Linked DNA regions of Coturnix japonica. The protein of the gene in region 2 purifies or fractionates together with the protein of the main gene of each other region. This does not show direct contact. Links are inferred from orthologs where the notes say so. Each region holds a gene or a part of one and is shown on either strand. Other genes may lie near its edges.

What was found. Proteins that work in one complex are often made in the same cells at the same time.
Region 1: the proteins of MPP5 (region 2) and PATJ purify together in Homo sapiens (co-immunoprecipitation; 5 studies listed by BioGRID and IntAct, counting the BioPlex papers as one, with this or other methods). This does not show direct contact. The link is inferred for Coturnix japonica from reciprocal best matches to the Homo sapiens genes PALS1 and PATJ.

Annotation. Positions count from the first base shown.
Region 1 is NC_029523.1:24,550,532-24,561,319, reverse strand, and holds part of PATJ (inaD-like protein), read right to left. Parts: intron 9,068-10,788; 5' UTR 8,936-9,067; intron 7,925-8,935; 5' UTR 7,891-7,924; coding exon 7,869-7,890; intron 7,787-7,868; coding exon 7,620-7,786; intron 5,969-7,619; coding exon 5,777-5,968; intron 4,422-5,776; coding exon 4,282-4,421; intron 2,553-4,281; coding exon 2,354-2,552; intron 717-2,353; coding exon 588-716; intron 1-587.
Region 2 is NC_029520.1:27,488,397-27,499,184, reverse strand, and holds part of MPP5 (MAGUK p55 subfamily member 5), read right to left. Parts: intron 10,412-10,788; 5' UTR 10,265-10,411; coding exon 9,898-10,264; intron 6,205-9,897; coding exon 5,996-6,204; intron 1,086-5,995; coding exon 1,008-1,085; intron 511-1,007; coding exon 364-510; intron 1-363. UniProt on the Homo sapiens protein: Plays a role in tight junction biogenesis and in the establishment of cell polarity in epithelial cells.

The sequences.
Region 1 (10,788 bases), on a different chromosome or scaffold from region 2:
TTTTCCATTAAAGCTCCCTGAATCTCCAGTTTTTGTTTCCATCCTCTACTAGCGGAAGTAACAATAAAACATACATTCTTTTCTGTTACTGGGTCTTGACTGCATGGGCTCCAGTTCTCAGTGCAACAACTTTTCATGGCCAAATTCACATTAAAAATCCAGATCATTCATGCGTTCTACTCCTGAAATATACCAACACTCAGTGCTGGATCATTAAAGACTGACAATCAGAAGTCACAAATCAGACCCGTATAACTAAAAAATAGCAGGAACTTCAGAAAGTCTTGCAGAAAGAATTAGAAGTACTGAAACTACGAGAAGCTTAGACAACTTTTTAGCTTGTCTGCATGTTCAACAATGTTGTATAAGCCAAAGCACATCTGAGAAACAGCTTAATTTGTATCAGGTGCTGACTTTTTTCCTCAATCATATCTTCAACATATTTATTTATAAAGTATATGTTGGCATTCAGACTTTGATGCTATCAGCTTCCTTTTGTTTAAGTATACTAGTTTATTTTAAGACTGTCAAAAGCAGTTAATTATACTGTGCAATCAAATAAGAAGTGACATAATATAACAAATTACCCGATCTGCTAATCCTCCAGGAACAATGGTTCTTACAACTACACCACTCAGCTTTCCTCCTACAATTCCAAAGCCTAATCCCGAGCCATCGTTAATCAGCTCAACGTTTTCAACGTGGCCCCAACGAATCTGCAATTAATAAGAAGAGAAGACTTTAAATTCAGCCCATCTTTAATGCGTCTCAATTTCACCTGTACCAGGAGAAACAAGAATCAAAGCACCTCTTTTCTCTTTGCCACATACTGGAGATCTCTTGGATTTTCTTCAGTTGACTACATTACCTTATAAATATGCAGTGAGGTTTCTCATCTCTTACCGAACATACATTTTGTCCTTCACTTTTGTAACAGGATACTAGGAAAAAGCTTGACTAAGAAAAAGTAATTCAAAGATTTTCTTGCCAAAATGGAAACTATCCTACTAGTTTTTCAGAAATCAAGAATATTGCAAACAGAGAAACAGTCCAGAAGCTTGAACTGGCCTAGTTTTCACTTAGCGTTGCCCAAATTCTTCTATCTGTTATGTCACTTACACACTCTAAACAGCACCAGTACATGCTGAATTAATAGTGCAGTATAAATTCTGCCATGCTGAATTGGAAGCATGTTTCTAAGCTACGCTGTGCGATGACCTTATGTTCTACAAGACAATCTGAAAATAACAAAGCTGTTAAGTAACCCAAACGCAGGCAATGTTTCTGTCAGATTAATATCTCATAGAAACCAAAATGGAGCAAAGTAGGCAGATTTAAGTCTTCTGTGAATAAAGGATTTATTAGCATACTGAAAATCTTTGCCAAAGCCAGTTAAATATCATAAAAGGAGTTTAAAGACCCCCTGTAGAGATATATATTTGTATTTTATTTTGTTAGTCTGTTCAGTGCAGATCTTTCAATGAAAAAGCAGTTAAAGTTTAATTCTTTAAAATTTTCAGTGCAATAAACAATATTGATTATCCACTAAAACCTTCAGATTTCACTACCTCTGTAATAATCATAAGGGAAATAATTACTGAGAATAAGGAAAAACACTGCTCTTAACCAGATTTTCATCAAAACCTGCTAGCATAATAAATTAAGATTCCAATATTGCAAACCCTGGATTTAGGTGTGCAGTTCAACCAAATTCAATGAAGCCACCTGGACCATATGGCTTGAACACAGATGCAAGCTCAGCCTTAGCTTATTATATCTGAGTGACAATCACTCCTTGTTAAAGAAAACAAAAGAGCTCACAATGAATGAAATCTGCAGATTAAAAAAGAAGATAAAAAAAATGAATGGGTAGGTTCTTTAACAAATTAAAGAAAAACAAAGGCAAGGCATTCGGTTTTGAGCAATTTAAGTTTACACTGGTTCTGGTATTTCAAGCAGTGCTCAAGATAGGTTATGTTTACAGTGTTTTAAGATATAATCAGAGCATCTTTAATTGCTAAGTGCAAGTATTTTTCAGCTGGGTATACTTATAAAACACTTTATCCAGACTATGCTGAACAGACCCTGCTGCTAGAAAATGGTTGATTTACTATAACTTCTACTAACACATAAAAACCCAGGACCTATTTTATAACAGCTTCATGCAGCTTTGCAATGGAAGCGTTACACTTACTGCATGATCAGTCTAAATCAAATGTAACTACAGATAAAACATGATTAAAAAAACCCCAAACCCTGTATGTAAAGCTAACTTGTAGAAACACTTAAAACTACTAAAAAGAGTACCCAGCATAGTTCAAAATCTGATTTTGACTGTATCGCAACAACTTACAGTCTCAGGTGGATTTGTATCACTCAATGAGACAGGCGAAGTTCTGCTGTTTCCTTGAACCGGCTCCCTAGCAACAACCAGATGTAAAGATCCCGTGGATTGCTGGAGGAGTGCAATAGCGTGCTGATGAGAAATGTTCTGATCCAATGGGGTGCAATTAATGGCCAGTATGTGGTCATTTTCCTTTAGTCTTTGATCCCTTAACAAAACATTAAAAGCAATTTCAAAATGCAGCACAGTGACTTCCCATGCAAAGTTTACATTAAAAAAAAAAAAAATAATCTACTCATTAGACTGACTTCAACTTACAAATCACACACAATATACGTTTGTACTGAACTGCCCAGCCAAAGTTTGTCCTAACTTTATCATAGTGTGCAAGTTTATTCAGTTTTCTTCCCTCGACTATTCAAAATTCAATGAAATCTCCTCACTCTTTCTTGATGATGTTAAATCGGACAAAAAAAAAAAGTTGCAATTACACAGCTAACTAGGAACTCTTCTTCATTACTTTTAGCATCACAGGACATCATTTCCAAGTATCCAAAACTCAGGCTACGATACTGGTTTATATCATCACCTGATCCTAAAGATAGTTAAGCTGTATATTTCTATTTTACTCATAAATTATATCATCAAAACTCAGACATGAAACTTTCCTCAGGCAATAGACAGTTCGATTTATATTATACCTTTGGATAACATAAATCTCACAGTTAATTCATCCAAGTGATGAATTTAGATTTGTGACAAGAGAGAAACCATCACTTATCCGCTTTGTTAAATATTCATTCCGAGCATGAGACCAAACTGTTACATAGACAGACACTGCCTTCAAAGCTCTGTAGGAATCCAAAAAAGACTCCAGGAGATCTTAACTCAGAACCGAACATGCCGGGAGATTTTTGAAACCTCCAAAACAATATAGCTGTACATCTTAACTAATGCATTTTAAAGTTCATTTTTACCACGCCACATTTAAGATGTTTTCCTGAAACGCCTTTCTTCAGGCATTCGCCATATTTTAGACTCTCTCATCAAAGAAAGTGAGCAGCAGGTCATCAAATCCTAAAGTGAGATATTCACCCTCCTTTGACATCCAGATCAGTCCATCTGTCTCCACTTTGAAAGAGCCTAATATGCTTTTCTTGTAAGCGTTCTCTGGTGTGTTCTCTGTGGGCCCATAGCCATTATCATTCCAACCTCTCCCCACTCTTTGTCATCCTATGTTGGCACTTCCTGACATGTGTTATTTAAAAAGTGACACCAATGACTTGTAATCTAGACACATTTTCTTTAAACATAATTCCAAGCACTGCATTTGTCTCATGCCAACTCTCGTGGTTTTACAATCACATTTTGTTTTTCAAGGATTGCTCTGTCTTTTGTTTTTGGGTGAGAACTTGCAGATAATACAGGAAAAAAGTGCCTGAAGCACCGATTCTATGATGACATCTGCGCAGGGATCTGCTGGAAGGACTGGATCTTAATTTACACAGGAAACACACAGTAAACCCAACTATAAATAGAGCATTGTCATAGGCACATAAATAGAGAAACAAGGGGGAAAAAAAAAATCTTTCAGTAATACAATGAATAAAAATCCAGAGACGAGTTTTTATTTCCCTTGTACTGTTTTCCGAGCTGCCTTTGTTTTTCAATCAGCACTCAAAGTTCTCTTCAGTGAGTCATGTTTTCTGGAAATTCCATTTGTGAACGGCATGGATATTTGGAACTCATCTGAAAATCTGATCCTCAAAACATGAGTCTGTTTAGCTGAAAAGCCAGAACGCGAGATACGACCTCCAAAGCATCCCACCAGATAATCCAAACAAACACGTTAGCCTGACAGCCTCCAAGGCAAAAATCAGGCCTTCTCTTTTCACAGAACTGCTGCAATTTTTCCATTACAATTATAAAGATCTCACCTGTCAGCCACGCTTCCTGGCTGAACTTCTTTGACATAGATACCAACTTCTCCTGAGTTGTGATTTTTAAGGGTAACAACACTAAATCCAAGACCTCCGACAGAAGGCTTTTCAATCCTTATTGATTCTATTTGTCTCCCCTGGTAAAATAAAAAGAAATGGATTAACTAATTTTTAACGCAATAGAATGAGCTAGTTCAAAATTTATGCACCAGGAGAATTATTCCTCTCCTAAGACTAAACAAAGGCAAAATACTAAATATGTTATTCCTATAAAAGCTCCTCCATTTATTATTTTTAATATAACAGAGTATTGGATATGCGAGCACTCTGAGATTCTGAAACCTCAGGGAATTTAAGAGCTGCTTTCACACTTCATTCACATTATGAGATGAATTCCAAACTGGATGAAAACTAAGAACAAAGTGCTGTCTATAGCAATATATTTGGGGTTTCTGGAAATGCTGCATAGTTAAACTAAATTACTTGTCTTTTGGCTCCCTTAGCTTTTAATGCTGATTTTAAGGTACGCATTCAAAAGATTGCAGCTTTTAAATAAAGAAATTAATTTCCTTCCCATTCCTGCAACTTCACATGTAATGCAAATAAAAACCAAAACAACAGAAAAACTCGGCTTTTGCAACTGCCTGATTCTCAGTTCAAACACATCATTTCTGGGGTTGTTTACTGGGAAGCGACACTTAGAGAAAGCACTTCTATCGCAGCTGCTTTATCCAAAATAACGTGCAGTCTTTACTGTTAAATCTTTTATCAGATGAGTTAATGACACGCTAACAAGAAGAGTTATGCTGAAAATATTACAGCTACATTAAGGTAGTCAATTAGCAACAGTTACTTAATATAGAAAGGCACGACTAACCAATTAAATTAATGGCTCAAAGTAACACAGAACAATGCACTCATGGTATAAATGCCAATTGCACATGGGTAGATGTCTGCACCTGTACAGCTTCCATAAGCATCTGGTACATGCTACATCATGTTAATGAAATCAGCATCTGTCTGGCAAAGTTGAGACATATTAAATGAAGAGTTAAATAAAATATTACATGCCAGCTCTTTTAATCATTTGCACTGTTCATATATCAACAAAGCTGGTACATTTCCAATTCAAAATGTACTTGATAAAAAATCTTTCCATCAAAACAAGTTTCTGCAGAAAACATCCATTTTCAATTAAGTGTCATCAAATACAAAGAAAAAAAGTCTTCTGGAAACCAAACCTTCATTTCTACCTTGATGTGGTAGAAAATAAAAGAAATGGTAAAGAAAATACTTCCCATTGTTGACGTAATCTTTCATAGGGGGGAAAAAAAAAACAAACAAACAAGGGTCCTTGGTACCTCTGTTACTGGCTTAGGTTGCATCACACTCCAAGATATACAATCAAACAGTATGCTTGAACAAGTGCTCCAAAATCATGCAAGAAAAAGTCTGACATTAAAGGTTGGTTGACTGAACCTGAGAGCCTCACCTTTGCCATCTGTTGGATGATTGCATTAAAATCATTAACTCCTGGGTTTGGAATGAAGGTAGATGCTCTGGGTTCTGGTAAAGTGCTCTGTTTACACACATTTCCAGCTGTAACTGATTTGTCAGCAAATACCAGTAGTCCTCTCTTAGTAAAATCAAAGTCTACTGACCGCTCAGGTGGCATGTAATTGAGCTGTTAAAAATGAACAGAGATGTGGCAAAACTATTAAAAACGAACACAGATTTCAACATATATAATTTCGCGTGAAGACTGACAAAGAATCACATTTATACATCCACATTCTCACAACTGCTCTCACCTGGGTAATTTAGGTAATGTTAACGTGTAAGCTATAATCAAGACAGCACACCAACTTTAAACTGTTTTACAGAAAGGAATGTTCCCTGAATAATTCAGCTGTGGTTCTACTCCACACGATTTTGTCAGTTCTACCATTCTTCTTCACAGTTTGTGCCCATCCTACTCATTTCTCCCTCTGCACCAAATATTTAAAGAGGCACTCAAATGCTGGTGGAACTGTCAGGCAAATTCAGACAGTTTTCACACTAGAATCCAAAATTTTACGAGTCACTTAACCACTCAAATGCCTAATATATACAGAGTGCACCTAGGACACAAGGTAACTACAACTGAACACGCTACCACAGCTAGAATTGTAGTTCAGTTTCCAGTCCTGTTAAATAACAGGACACAACAAAATAACAAAAAGGAAAGCAGAAACACTTCCAGTGCAACGAAGTAAAGCAAAAAAAATCCCATCCTGAATGAAAGTTCTCAAAGGGGACAAGCTTAGAAAAATTTAAAAAAAAAAAAAAAAGCACAAACAAAAAAACCCAAAAACTTTATTTTCTAGACATGTTAAGCCTGAGCATTCTGGATATAAAATCTATTATGCCACAGTTACGATGCATGAGCCTAGATTTGGATTTTTGCTCACTTTTAACAGCTTGCAGACGTGCACTCAAGATTTGGAAGACGGGAGCAGATGCTCCAACAATGCAAACAGGGGAAGAAGACAAGTATGAATGGCAGAGCCACTACATGGTATCCAGGCAGCAATACTGGCAATATATTTAGCAATGACAGCATGGTGGCACCATTCTCCTGAGACCTACCCCACCATATCTGCAGCTGGACAGGTTCAGTAACAGCAAAGACAGGAATTAGTGTTGCATAGAGTGTGCCAAGTTAGTCCCTGATTTTTAAGCTTCCGTGCCTGACTTGGCAAACTGCATGGTAGAGGTGTCAACAACATCTTTGTCTACAAGATCCAAGCATCTACTGGCATTATGACTTCCACTGCCATACTTAACTGACTTAAAAGCTAGGTTGGATATGTCTGCATCAGAGCTTGGCACATCTTCAGGGTGATTTTCTACATTTTATTTCCCAAAGCATGTTAACCATTCTTGTACAAGTCAGCAGCAGTTAACGGATAGTGTCTTTTAAGGAGACAAGGTGCTGCTAGTCAGCTGATGAACAGTACTGAGAAAAACAGAGAATCTCAGTTTCAACTGTTTTCAGAACTCAAAGTATTAGAGCTGATGTCTTTTGCAGATGCTTTTCTCAGACTGACGTGGTTCTCGATGTCTCTTCTACACCCTTATCAAAGCATGGTGCCCCATGACTAGAGCATTGTAAGGTCATTTCTCATGTCAGAAGTGACTCAATAGATACAGGCTTGACAAGAAAAAGGCCAACATTCAGTAGCACCAACTTATAGCTTATTAATGACTGTCCTCATTAGCGCATGCCTACACAGACTTTTGTTCCAAGTTCAGTATAGTTATAATCACACCAACAATTGTAATTCTACACTCACTTGATCTTTCAGTTGTTTGATGGATTGCTGGAGGGTCAGAATCTGGTTAAACAAAGGGCTCTTGAGCGTGTTTCGCAGCACAGACAGGTTCTCGTTATGTTGGACATCTCTTTTCTCACGCAGTTTTGCTTGCAGACGGTCAATGATCTGCAGCACCTGCTGTTTATCTGCACCACAAAGTAGTTATATGTTAGGAATGGAGCATAATTTCTCACCACTTAACAGAGTATTCACTTTCAGACTACATACCTGCAGCAGGGTTTTCAGGCATGTTGGAGAATATCTTTGGAATTACTCAGAATAATCTAGATGAGATAAAAACAACAAACAAATACATGATATCTTTGAGTAGAATGCTTTAAGGTAGAATGTCAATAAATGCAGTAGTAAAATATTAAGTTAACTATAACAAAATTAATTAAAGAACACCACAATTAGCTCTTCAGTACAGCCAGTTGCAGAGCAGCCCAGCACACTCACAAATTTCTCCTTGTTCTGTGTGCTGCTGCTTTTACACTAGAAAAGGAAGAACAACTCTTCCAAAGATGAGGAATAATACACATTATAAAACAAAAGCAACAAATTGGTCAAAGAAATCAACACAGCTATGTTCAACCAAATTATCTGGAATGAGAACATTAAAACTGTGATCTTTTCAAATACACAATACCTAACTCTTTGTATTATTTAGCAGGTACTTCCACTTGTTTTAATTATTTGTGTATCTCACAACAGCTCAGCCCTGCTATGTGGCAATACAGGTGAAATCTTGAAATAAAACAATTCTTCAAGAAGTTCCCATAAAATGATGAGGTCCCCTTTGCTCACAAAACAGCATAGCATCAATGTCCCAAATTGGCTAACCCAATTCCTAATCCAGCATCTTAGTGACAGCTTTGGTGTCAAATAGGTAAGAGAAAACTATGTCCTTCTCCTCCATGTGCTTGCCTTTCTCTTTCCTATATATGAGACAAGCTTTAAAGGAACATGGTGTCCTTTCCCACCCTCTCTGCAACGTGAAAGAGAACAGGTCTGCAGCTGAGGCTGAGGCCTAGAGGACTTTCATTTGCAAGTTATAAAGTTCAGGTGGAGCCTCTCATTCTGAAACCTATCAAAGTAGTTACACCAAAAACACAAGAAACAAGATTTCTTCGCTTAGTACAAGCTCTTCTGAAAGAAGTCAACTGTTTAATAGCACAAATTACATAATTTAGACTATGCCCTGTATATAACAGTGCAACTTCAGAACAATATAAATTTGGAATTATTTGGGGAAAAAAAAAAAATCTATACTGCAAAAAAAGCTCTACATTTACTTTGTTAATCTTGCAATCCAAGAGCGAGTATGGTTGTTTGTGTATTATTGCTCACCCAGCAGAACCTCTGACCCTTTCAGCTCTGATCCTATCCACGCCCCAGCCAAAAATGTCTGGAATTCCAGGAAGACACTGAAATACATAAGAGAATAATAATTAAGCAGATGAAAAAGAAAGAAAAAAAAAAAAAATAGGTGGTAAGTCACAAAGCACAGTTTCAGATTTATGTACACTTTGCTCAATGTAAGCAATTTTGGCTTCTACGAGAATTCCTGCAGAACTCGGTGGACTTGCATGGTTTCCACCTAGGGCCAAGCAAAATGAGTCCCTTCACAAGACTATTAACAGATTTAGGAGGTCATTTCAAATCAAATTCATAGGAGGGGCTGAGGAGGCACACAACTCCTGAAAGACTTTCAGGAATGCATCTGAACTTATGTGAGTTCTGCAGCTTTATTTCCTTTTCTATTTGAAACAAAATAGCACAGCAGCGGCCTTTGATTCTGTGCTGAGATCTGATTCTGAAGTACAGATGAAAATACCATTTCCTTATATACTCCTGAGTCTTCACATAAACCAAGAAGTCCAAACTTCACCTCCTTAGCTAAAAATACTGTGTGAATCTTAAAAAACAGGAATATGAAGGGTTTTTTCCCCTTCATAATCAATGTAACTTCCCCGTTTTCACATCAGCAGTAAAACAATAAAGCAAACCAGCAACAGTGAGATACACAAGAACTCCTATGAGGAAAAGTGACTTGAAACACCTTAATGCCAGTGGTAGGGTGAAGATTAAACCCAGAAAAGAAATGCAGTATGGCAGGAAATAACAACTTGACAACACTGTACCCATCTAACAGCCAAGAAGCCAAAGTATCTTTCATGCATTTTGTCCTCCTTCCCGTCCCATCTGGGCTGGCCTTTATTCATCTGATCCCACAGTGAACTGGAGCAGGGAGTTAAACACCCAACAAGCCCCCACATTTGGTGGGGCCGAGCCTCCTGCCCACCTAGTGCTCAAACAACAGCACATGGGATGGGGCTGGGAACAGGACCACACCTTGCAGCAGCAACTAGCGGTTGCAGTAGCTCAGCTGTGCTGGCAAACTGTACCATGAGAAATAGCCTGCGTCATTCAAAGGCAGCCTCAAAGAGCCGTGCTGACAGTCTCCAAGATTAATCTTTTTTCCATTACAGCGGGTGTAACAATAGCAATTATGGCAACGGGTGCAGATCCAAGGAAGAAAAATTAGAGCAGAAAAATGTATGTAGGATATCTAGGCTCCATCTAACATGCAGAAGTCCCCTGGAGAAGGAGGTGAAAAAAAGAAAACATAAAATCACAAGGAAATACATTAAAGAAAGCATCAGCTTCCTGCTTGGGCTGCCCCAAAGCACTGCTGAGAACCACTGCAGAGCACTTCTCTCCAGCAGATGCTGAAGTGGACCTCAGGTACAGTTAGCAGGAAAGTTCAAGTTTACACAGCACTTTGGGATCCCTCGTGATTAAAGCTGGCCTCTAGTCAGCTTGCAATGCTTTACAGTGATATTTTTCTTTGAGCAATACGTTAAAACCACTCCTAATGTTTCTTTTGTTCTCTTTTCTTTCAAATAAAAAGAGCCGGGGGGGAAAGGCGGGGGGGGGGGGAAAGGTGTGATTTAAGGTAGACAGCTCCTTCAGGTGCGAGGGGATCCCTGAGAACACAAGCTAATTCCAAGTTTTCAAGTAATATGTAATTGAGAACAAGTCCCCAAGACTGGTGTTCAGGCTCCAGAGAAGCACACAGCTCCATCCACTATAGCCCTGTTTGTGTTTGAGGACCCAAACACATAATCATTAATCAATTTCCAAG
Region 2 (10,788 bases):
TTCCTAAACACTAATTTTAAAGATGCAAAATAGTAGATTAAAAAGAACACTAACATAACACAGCCACCTGTAATTGGACAAGAATCTAAGCTTTCCTGCAGCTAAACTTGGATAGTGACTGCTATAATAAAACCCTAGCCAAATCCACACGATGAAAGCTATACAGGCTCTAAGTGCTGTCTACTGCTATATCATAATGCGCATTAAGTAATCATTTATGACCATTTATCATTTGGGCAGGTGGGGAAGAAAATGATTTCTAAGTTAAATATAACTTTCACACTCAAATCCTGTAACTTTCATAGCTATCTGCAAAGACAGCTTTACTGCTTTAAGCATAACTGGGCAAGTACAAATACTTACCAATGGAATATCTCGAGCTTTCTCAATACGAACTATTTTAACCGTTTCCCCTCCATACGTGCCAACATTCTCATAAATTTTTTCATCTGCAACAGGCTCGGGTTGCATTTCTTGTTCTGCAACCTTATCATGTGCTAGTAGAAGTGCCTAGTGTTAAACAAAATGAGAAAAATTCTAATTCCATATGCATACAAAATAGTAGCCATCAATGAAATTCTGCAATTTGAAAGCTCTTTATAACTACAGAATACTTTATAAATACAGAATACTGTAATTTCTACTTGACAAAAATTCTGCTTTCGGTTTTGGAAAATAATACAAAATTACTTTGAACACAAAGTTGGAACTATACTTATGGCTTCTCCTTCTTGAAAAAAAAGTCAGACATTGGTTTACTATGTATGTCAAAGATACAGAAGCAAAAAAACCTACTGCAGTCAAAACTACTCATGAATTTACTTCACTGGACAAAATTCTCTTTATGCACCCTACTATAAGAATGCAATAGCTGAATCTATCACAGAAAAAAACCCTCAGGAAAGTAAGTAGCTCATGTGTTGCCACTGACATTACTGATCTAGTGCTACCTTGCTCACGTCAAAACTACCTTGTAATACCTGCAGAATACAATAATTTTTTTTTACCTGCATGTGAGGGGCATTCAGCAAGGCATTGAGTTCCTGCCCATCCCTGTGGTGACTGGGTTTCAAAACACACTGAACCTGAAAAGAAATGAAGTAGTAAAGCTCTCAGTCTACCCAGTGATTTATCAGTCTTCCTTCTCCAACTGAAGCACAAAACCTTAGCTGCAATCATCATTCATTTTACTGAAAGTAAAATATGCGCACATAATTGTTATACTGACGCACTGAGCCTGGCCTAGTACACATTAGGAATACATGCAGTGAGATCACAGGACTACTCCAGAATGCTGCACCTCAGTGATTTTCTATCGAATGCAAACTGGTATCCAGTATATCACATGGATTTCTCAACAAAAACTAACAATGATAACAATGATCTCAGCTACCACAAGAGATGTATGCAAAGAAGTTGAGAAAAGAACCTGACAGCATAATTAGCCACAGTGAAGCCTACCATGCAAATACTGCTACATCTTTCAAAATTGACTAGTTTCTCACTACTGTGACCAGACTTCCTTTTCCTTAAAAGTAGATGATTTATTTTTAACCCAGTATTGCTACTAGCAGCAAGAACAAAGATTCCAAGACAGGTTTTGCAGCACTTGCTGGAACATCTGCCTCAGAAACTCTAAGAGTCAAAACTTCAAAATACCAGCATCTCAGCAAACCAGTTTTCTTCAGCTATTATTTATTTTGTTTGCCACAGAAAAAGAATAATCCACAGAAAGACAACAGCTGTTCTTGCTCAAGTAGCTTTTGTTGCCAAAAAAGGTTTGCATTCCTGTTCACTTAAATAGGTCTTGCCATCATCTCAAATACAGAAAATCCCTGTATGCTTTAAAGGCAAGCCAGGAGCAGGGCATTCCCCTTTATCTAAAGGCAAGGTTGAAGAAGATACTTTCTACAGTAATTATCTTCAGGCCTAATCTGCATCAAAGTCATGAGTCCAAAAGCACTAATGAAGCTGTAGGAATCAAGAACAGATTATACATAACAGCAGCTTTCTGTGCGATAGAAAACATTCTTTTCCCCGAGAGTTTTCCACTCTTAAGGATGAAAAATGTGACAAAAAAAAAAAATAAAAAAAAAATCAAGAACTAAACTGAAGAACTAATTTAGATAAAAACACAGAGAACAGAAGGAATTCAGCTTCACATCAGTTTGACCTAAGTCATATCTCTGCAGCTGCCAGGAAGTTATCCCCAGTTAGAAGTCCTGCAAGCAAGACATTTCAAACATGTGGCCAGATGCTAAGTATTAGACAGAGAAAAAGATGTACCAATAATTACGAACGTATGTAGTACATCTCAGAATCAAATCTGCACGCTTTGTGAATTTATAAAATAAATATTTAGCATAAGAACAATCCTAAACAATATATTATTTAAAGTAACATTTTGCTAGTTGCTACATGATTCACATATGAAGCCTGAATAATAAGCGCACAATAAGCCATATATACATTTAGATGCTCAGAACAGCATCTCCCCTCCTCCTCTATTTTTCCATGCCTTGTGACTTGGCCCAACCAGTGATCCTCTGTGCAATAGCATCCTCTATGGCAGCTGAATTTCCTCTTTGAAAAATTATATTACTCAAAAACGCTAACAGCTCCTCCACCTCCTTCCTAAGGAAAAGATAAATTCATTATTTATTTGCTTAATATAATGTGTGAATCACTAGGAAAGGTTCAGTCTGCTTTGTGCAACTCTTATTACACTGGTATTGCTGCATGTCAGATTGCTTTGTTATTTAAGGTAAAGAATTCCATGTCTCATCAGGTGAAGAAATCCAAATCTAGGCTGACGTTCCAGAAGTGACACACCACAGACAGAATAAGCATTCCGCGCTAAACATTTGGCAATACTATTATTTTCTTAACCCTTCATTCCAGTTTTTATTGTTAGTTACATTAACTTGAACTCTAACAGCTAAGAAATTATTAATGGGGTTTCATTATAAAAGCCACAATTTGGAGGCACACTGTGAGACACATACCAGAGGGCTCACACTGGAATGATGTTGGCCCTTCAGAATATAATCATACCTGCAAAACCATGTTGCGTGGGTTCAGTGCGACCGTTGGGAGCAATGTACATTCACATAATAAAAAAATTACACTGGAAGTTACAAACATACAATCTGTCTTCTCAGAAGGCCTGATCAAATTTAATTGATTACAGTTCCTGAAGTGAAGGGTATCAGGTATTTAGGAACATAATTTATATAAATTGAGTCTGTAGAGTATATTTAATAGCAAGAATATATTCAAGGCATTTGACGTGGTGTTACAAGCTAAAAACTACCAAGTGTCTTACACGCTGCATCAAATATTCTTACAAGGTCAAGATTCAGACCATGTTCCCATAATCCTTGCCTCTATTTTGGTCAAATTTAAAAGGATTTAAAATCAATTTAATTACACTTGATGTTTACTGGCTATTTTTGTTTAAGAGATGAACAACACAATGTTTTATGGAGATTAGGTCTTTAAAATAAATTCCCTACACCTAAATGCTCCATTCCACCTTAAAGACTTTTCCAAATGTCTCTTTAAAAACACCTTGAAGTAGGTAATGCTCCAAAAAGATTAAAGTACTGAGTTCTGAGGGAGCTTCCGGAACCTAATATTTAGAGATGAGAAAAGCAAAAGGCACAAACAGGAAAAACTACAAAATAATTGGGCATGCTGCCCCTGCTGGGAGGTGTGTGTGTGTGTGGAAAACAACTTTTCCTGAAGCAAAAAATTACTTCCTCATTAAGGGATAACAGGACTGAAAAATGAATGTAAGATCTGTTCAAACAAGAATGACATGAACGGAGGCCTCAAGCTTTTCCTTACAACACTTCTGTTGGTCACAGAAATATCTGTCCTGAATTTCCAGCTTAATCATCTCAGGATGTTATTCAAAGTATTGCAAAATATGATTTGCTTAAATAAATCAGAAGCTGAATCTAGATTACATCTGAAAATGAGTACAGACATATGCAATATATTTCCCTTCAGGAATTTCAAGGCTGTGACAAGACACAGACAGGGGATGGAGCATCAAAACAAGCGCAGGAATACATCACATTCTATGTAATATTCTTCTAGGTCATGACAAAATTCCACCAGACAAGCAAAATACTTAATTCTTAAATGCTTTTATGCATTACTGCTAAGACACATAACTGCCTTTGCACTGCCTTCTGATTTTAGGATTTATGAAACTACTTGAAAATAACAGAGGAATGTGCTGAGAATGTGGGAGTTAGGGAAGAGGGCAGGGAGGAATATGAACATTTGAGAACTGACTTGTAGTTTGCCCTATACTGATAAAGCTCTGCTATTCCACTACAGATGTCAAGAAAAGATTTTGTCTTGCAGGGTAATTTAGAGTTGGAAGGCATATATTCCTCCTGGAAACTTCCATTAAGCACCAAAGAAATATCATATCCATGAAGGAGAGGGGTGGTGGTGGGGGAGAAAACCAACCACATTTCTTATATTAATCTAAACATTCAATATACAAATAGAGATTTAAAATCTCTGACTTGCACCTGAGTGAAAATGCAAACTAGGCCTACAGGCAGGATGTATGTATGAGGAAATGGCTTACAAACAGAAGTTAACTTGGAAGGTTCCTCCAGACTCAGACGAAGCTTAACAAGCATCCTGGAGCAGCCTAGAGGCAGACCAATAAACCAGAGGCAAGCTCACTGGAAAGATATTCCCACTTGGTTTTGGTGCAATCTTACTGACAAGCCTGAACAGAAAAATCCTGAGCAGCAGATTACTGGGCAAACTGTGCCTTCTGAGAATGTTTTATTGACATCTCTCAAGAGCCAGTAATTAATTCTGCAAAAGAACAAAGACTGCAACATTGTTTTCTTTGACTTTCAAGATCAACAAAACCAGACACTACAAGAATCATCCTGCTGCCATACTGAAATGGAAGTGATGCATCTGTGAGCAATGCGCCAGTGCACCTGAGCCAGGTCTGAGCAGGTGTACTTAACTGGCCTGGGGAGCTGGCTCTGCAGAATGCAACCTGTTGCACTTGTGCTGATACTGCCTCTGTTATCTGTAAATTTGTATCTGAAGAATTTCCAATGAAACTGGAATATAGAAGTAATTCCAGTGAATTGTTCATGTACACTGTAACCGCGTTGTGTATCTTAAATGCATTCTGAAAATCAGTGTTTTGAACAAGCTGTAAGATGAGAGAGATATCCTCTTGGCTCTGAGGGTCTACCAAGTAGCCTTATAAGGCTACTATAAATAGACATTGTTCATCTGCATTCAAATGATTAAGACTCAAAGAAAACAGTTAACAAAATTTTTAACAGTATTTCAAATACTTCTGATCTCAGTGAAAATATGGAAGTCTTAAATCTTACTGAAGTAGATCCCTAAAAGCATGTTTAACCATTTCTAAAAGACATGATTAGTCTTATCAGGGAGCTTATTTTTTTTCATGGCAGAAAAAAATTAATTGTAATCTGACAATCACAGCAGTAATCAAAACATAGAAATGAAGTAGGAAGGCACCTGCTGCTTACTTTAAAGCAAAATGTTTTCTTCCAGTACAGCTGTGTTTTCAGAGATGCCTCCAAATTTAAGAACCAGGGCTAAACTTGGAGAAAACTCACAGTAACAGATAACTGCAATGCAATTACTAATGCTTGGACTAAAGACTAATATAATAATAACCTAACATGAAAAGTTTTCCCTAACTGCTCCCTTTTGTGTTTAATTCTTTTACATGGTTTAATTCTTTTACATAACTACTCACATCAAAATGGGTGTTCTTACCCCCAAAATATTCTTCCAGTTACTGTTTTCCTGGAGATGTGGAAAAGCTGGACACAGCAATCAGTGACTACTGGAATCCATTTTCTATTTAGCATGCAGTAACTCAGACAAGTTCACCAAGTACACATTTCAACAACAGCTACGATTACACACTTCGTATAGATACCACAGAGATGCATACTGTACATACCTCTTGTGCTAGTTCTTGTGCGTTGGAGATGAGAGGATACGGAGGGCTGGCTTTGTTCATGTACACTGTAACCGCGTTGTGTATCTTAAATGCATTCTGAAAATCAGTATTTTGAACAAGCTGTAAGATGAGAGAGATATCCTCTTGGCTCTGAGGGTCTACCAAGACATGCTGGATATGTTTTAGGGAAGTCAATAGTTCTTCCACTTCTGGTAGGAAATAAAACCAAGACACAAGTTAAAGAGTAATGATGTTGTAATGTTTGTGTTCAGAGTTCTACAAAAAAAATTTTGCTGCTCAGTTTTTAAATCAGCAGTAATGTATGCAAATATATTACTTAGCTATTCTTGTCTCACGGTTATCAGCAGAACATAGTACAATCAAAACAAGAACCACAAGCCAGAATATGAAAAAGAAACAAGCTGATACATGATTCAAAATTGAATTTCAAATAATAGGAGCAGTACTTCTCTGAAGGAAATCACTGGTATGTAAAAGATTCAATAACCACAGCTCACCTGTAAATAAATGTTAAAGAGGAACTACTTTGCAATATGAAATCAACTGCGTTGCTAAACTAATTGTGATTCACTGTACACTAAATTATTTAAATACACTTATCACATGTATATCACTTATAAAGTGAGTTATTGATCAGTAAATTACGCTGAGTTATTAAGTGCAAAATTATGCTCTTAGCAGTTTAAAAATAACAAGGTAAAAAAAAAGTGAAGAAAAATCTTCTACACTCATGAAAGTCTTCTGCTCTAAAAGCAATCCCACATAAAAGCAAATCCACGTCACCTATCAGATTACGAGCCCCAAACCCTGAACACGGTACACTGAACACTAGGCTAGACTAAATCAAACATTCGATTCATTAAGATTAAAATGGCTGATCAAGGGGCACAAGAAACCTGTAAAGCACAAGTAAATATGCCTTTACATGTGCTTGAAAGCTTTTAATTTCAAAGCATACATTAATGTTTTCAATTTGGAGATTGCAAGTCAGTTTTCTAAAAGGAAAGAAATAATCCCCCAAAAACATATCCCCAAAGCATTTCACAGTCACATAAAATACATCCTACCCACCAAAGGCTTCTTCCTACAACCACCAAGGAAACAAAGGGCAGTAAGAAGATGGATGCACTGAAAACTCAGAGGCAGGACAGGATATTCCACGAGGAAAACACAGTACAGCTCAGAACAGTAACTAAGGCCAACATCTTATTGGGGAGAGGCATACAAGATCACACATGGAACTGCTGTTTGGGATGAAAGTTAACACCTAGCAGGCAAGAATAACTGCTAAATAGGACGTGGTTATCTGGCAGATTTCTTGCCTAGTGGAGTATGCAAATAGTCTCTGCAACCTTTTCTCCTGAGACTGAAGAGAACTGCTTTCAAGTATTAAAAAAAAATAAAAATGAAAACATGAAAAACAGCCAGATGTTCAAGTTTCTGTTAGTGCCTGTTCAGTCAAGCATCAGCTGAAAACTCTGTTGATACTGTTACTAGGTTCAAAGAAATGAGGCATTAGAGAACTCAACTTCTTTACAATACTCCTCAAGCATTAATGGTTTTACTCAATTACTTCTGAATTCTCTAGCCCACTCATACACCTGAGACTTCAAGTACATGCTCATACACTTTCTAACGTATACTGCATATAAGATAGAAAACAGATATGGACTGATAAACATCTATTCTACAGATATAGTAAAAAGATGGACTCTTCTTAGATGCCTCCACACATTCTCTCTTCAGTGCTTTCCTAGTTCCTTCTATCTTCCCCTTCCTTACAAATCTCCCCATCAACTAATTTCCCTGTACACCCAATCTTCATCTGTGCTGGATGCAGAAGACCAATACCATATGACCCTCCCCCCAGGAACAGCAAAAGCTCCAAAGGCATGAAAACAAGCCTCTCTAGGTCCCTGTTAATGAATTTTAAGTCACAGATTATATTTCTGAAGGTTTTGTTCTTGGTAGCAAGACTATCTCTAGACATTTCCTATTTAAAGGGTTGTATAGAAGAAAGCAGCTCAGTAAACAACTAACATCTTGCATTTACTCACAGAAAAATTCAGGGTTCTGTGGCAGAAAGTCCACTTTACAGCACGGATCAATTAGCCATCAACTGCTTTGTTTAATTTCAATTCTTGTTTTTCAAGAATCATTGCAGCCTTTTCCCATTAGAGCAAAGAAATGGCTGGAATGTGACACAGCACTGCACGATATACACGGTAATCAAAAAGACTGCTGGAAAAAAAACACGCAAGTGCAGGGGAGGACCCACGGTCACTGCTTAACACACTGGATCAGAAGAAGCAAGAAAAATAATGCTGCATATAATAATTTTGAACGAAAAGTTACAAGCAGCAAATTTAAAAGCACATAATTGGCTTTATTATATATTGCCACAATAACTTTAGAATACTCCGCAGGCTACTGCTAGCTCTCTAATGCCTCATATATTACTTGAATAACAGGGCTAAGAAAACTGTTTTATGCATAACTATTTATAAGTTTAAATTAACTTTTAGAAAACAAAACGTTTTATATTTTGTAAGTTTTGCCTGAGGAATAAAAACAAAAAAGGAACAGGCAGCCTTCCCCCTGCAAAAAAAAGAACAGTTTTTGCTGTAGCCACAAAAGGTTTCTTACACGAAGTGTCAGCTATTAATTTAATTAGGAGAATAAGCAGCAATGTAAAACATATTTTCTGCATTTAAGAGAACTACATTGCTATGAATGAGTTTGTTAAATTTCTCAGCAATGAACATGTTCTGGGTGCTCAGAAAGGTATTTCCACCCTGTCAGCTGTCTAATCATGTCCTGTTTTGATAATAAACATGCCCTTTAAAACTGTTTTAATTACGCATGCTATTTTATCTCTACAAACAAAATCCAATTTGCTTGATTTTTTAATTGTTAAGATGAAAAGATCAAAGGCCTGGCAAAGAAATACCAAATGAGATATTAGCATGTATGGAACATTATATTCAAAACTAAAAATATAGATAACATGCATTTACAGCCCTATGTTTTAGCAGCAATTCTACAGCTTAACAAATAAAGCAAAGCTAAAATCCTTTTTTTAAAACACAATGATAACAGTAGTTTAACAACTTCGTAATTCACTCAGAACTGGTTAAGAGTTCTGCTAACAAAGCTTAGAAATTTACCAAGGTGAAAATTCAGGAGTCAGAACCAGCTCGCTTCAGAAATTCAAACTAAGTACGAAAGACTTCACACACTGCAAGGCTTTGGGTTTGTTTGTTTGTTTTGACAAAGTCATGGGCTAGCAAGTTTTTTTTAGAGATCAAGAAGTTGTACGTATTAACTTGAAAAATTCCAGCTTCTCTAATTCATTAAAAAGGCAGAAGTACTAACTAAAATGGACTCCAGCCCTTTTTGTGGTATTCTGTATTTTACATTTATAGGCATTCATAAGGTAACTTCACCAGCACTTGACGAGAATCAGCAACAGGCAGCATCACTCCAAATTCCAAACCAAGTTGCTCACATCCCCACCTAGCCTGGCCTTGAACATCTCCAGGGAGGGGGCAGCATTCACAACTTCACTGGGCAACCTGTTCCAGTATCTCATCATCCTCACAGTAAAGAATCATTTCCTAATATCTAGTCTAAATCTACTCTCTCCAAGTTTAAAGCCATTTCCCCTCATCGTGTCACAGATACTGATATAACATAAATTAGTCTAATTACACTGCTGTGTCTTCAAAAGGTCCCAGCCTTTCTAGCTCAAAGAACAGACCATACATACTCACCGAACTAGTGAATATTTCTGCTGTGTGTGACTTCAGACATTTATTTTAAAATATTCACATAAATCTTTCTTTTCCATTAACCTACCCGTAATTTCCATTAACACCTACCTAACGTCTTCACAGTATAATGAGGACTCTCCAAAACAATCCCTTCTTCTGTGTCAAATATTGGATTGTCTATTCCAGTTTTCGGAGGAATCTGTGCTAATTTCTTAAGCCTCATTGAAGCAGTAAGGTCCAATTCCTGTTTCTTCCCCTCTTCCTCCCTTCTGCGCCTTATGTCCTCCTGCTGCTGCCGGATTCGCTCCAGCTGAGCACTCCGCCGCATGGGCATCATCCTGGAGCCCAAATCACCAGGGCAATCGACAGCCATTTCTCGGTGCTTCTGAGGTTCCTCAGGAGATGCAAGATCCACATTTTTTGCTTCACTGTCAGAATCTTCTGTGATGTGTCCGTTCATATGAGAAGTTGTCATGGTTATGTGCAATTAGGCCTACTCTCTTTAAATAGAAATGCTGCTATTAGGCCAGTTTTTGTAATGCTGCTGCGTAAAATCCATTATAACTTCAAAAATATCTCTCTTCCATCACAAGACAGCTGAAGAAGCATCCACGATGAAAATCTAAAGAAACACATTAAAAAAAATTAGTAAATATCTGTATTAATAACAAAATACCTAAGACAGTTCTTCAGTGCTCCAAGCACAAACTTCCCCTCCACATTATACTTCCCTTACTAAGAACTACAGCACCCTCACAAACCTGATTCATATGTTGAAGAAATTTTCAAGCGCTGGCATTAGAAAATTAGTAGCTCAAACTAATGCTAATATTTTGTACAATTCCATATCAAAGAACTGCATTATTCTGAACTTAAAATACACAACTGCAAATTAGCAGTTTTCTGAAAATTCCCATACAGTTTTTACACGTTCCTTCACTCTTAAAAATTCCAACACAAAACTGTGGTAGAACAAGCACTAAACATGAATAATTTGTT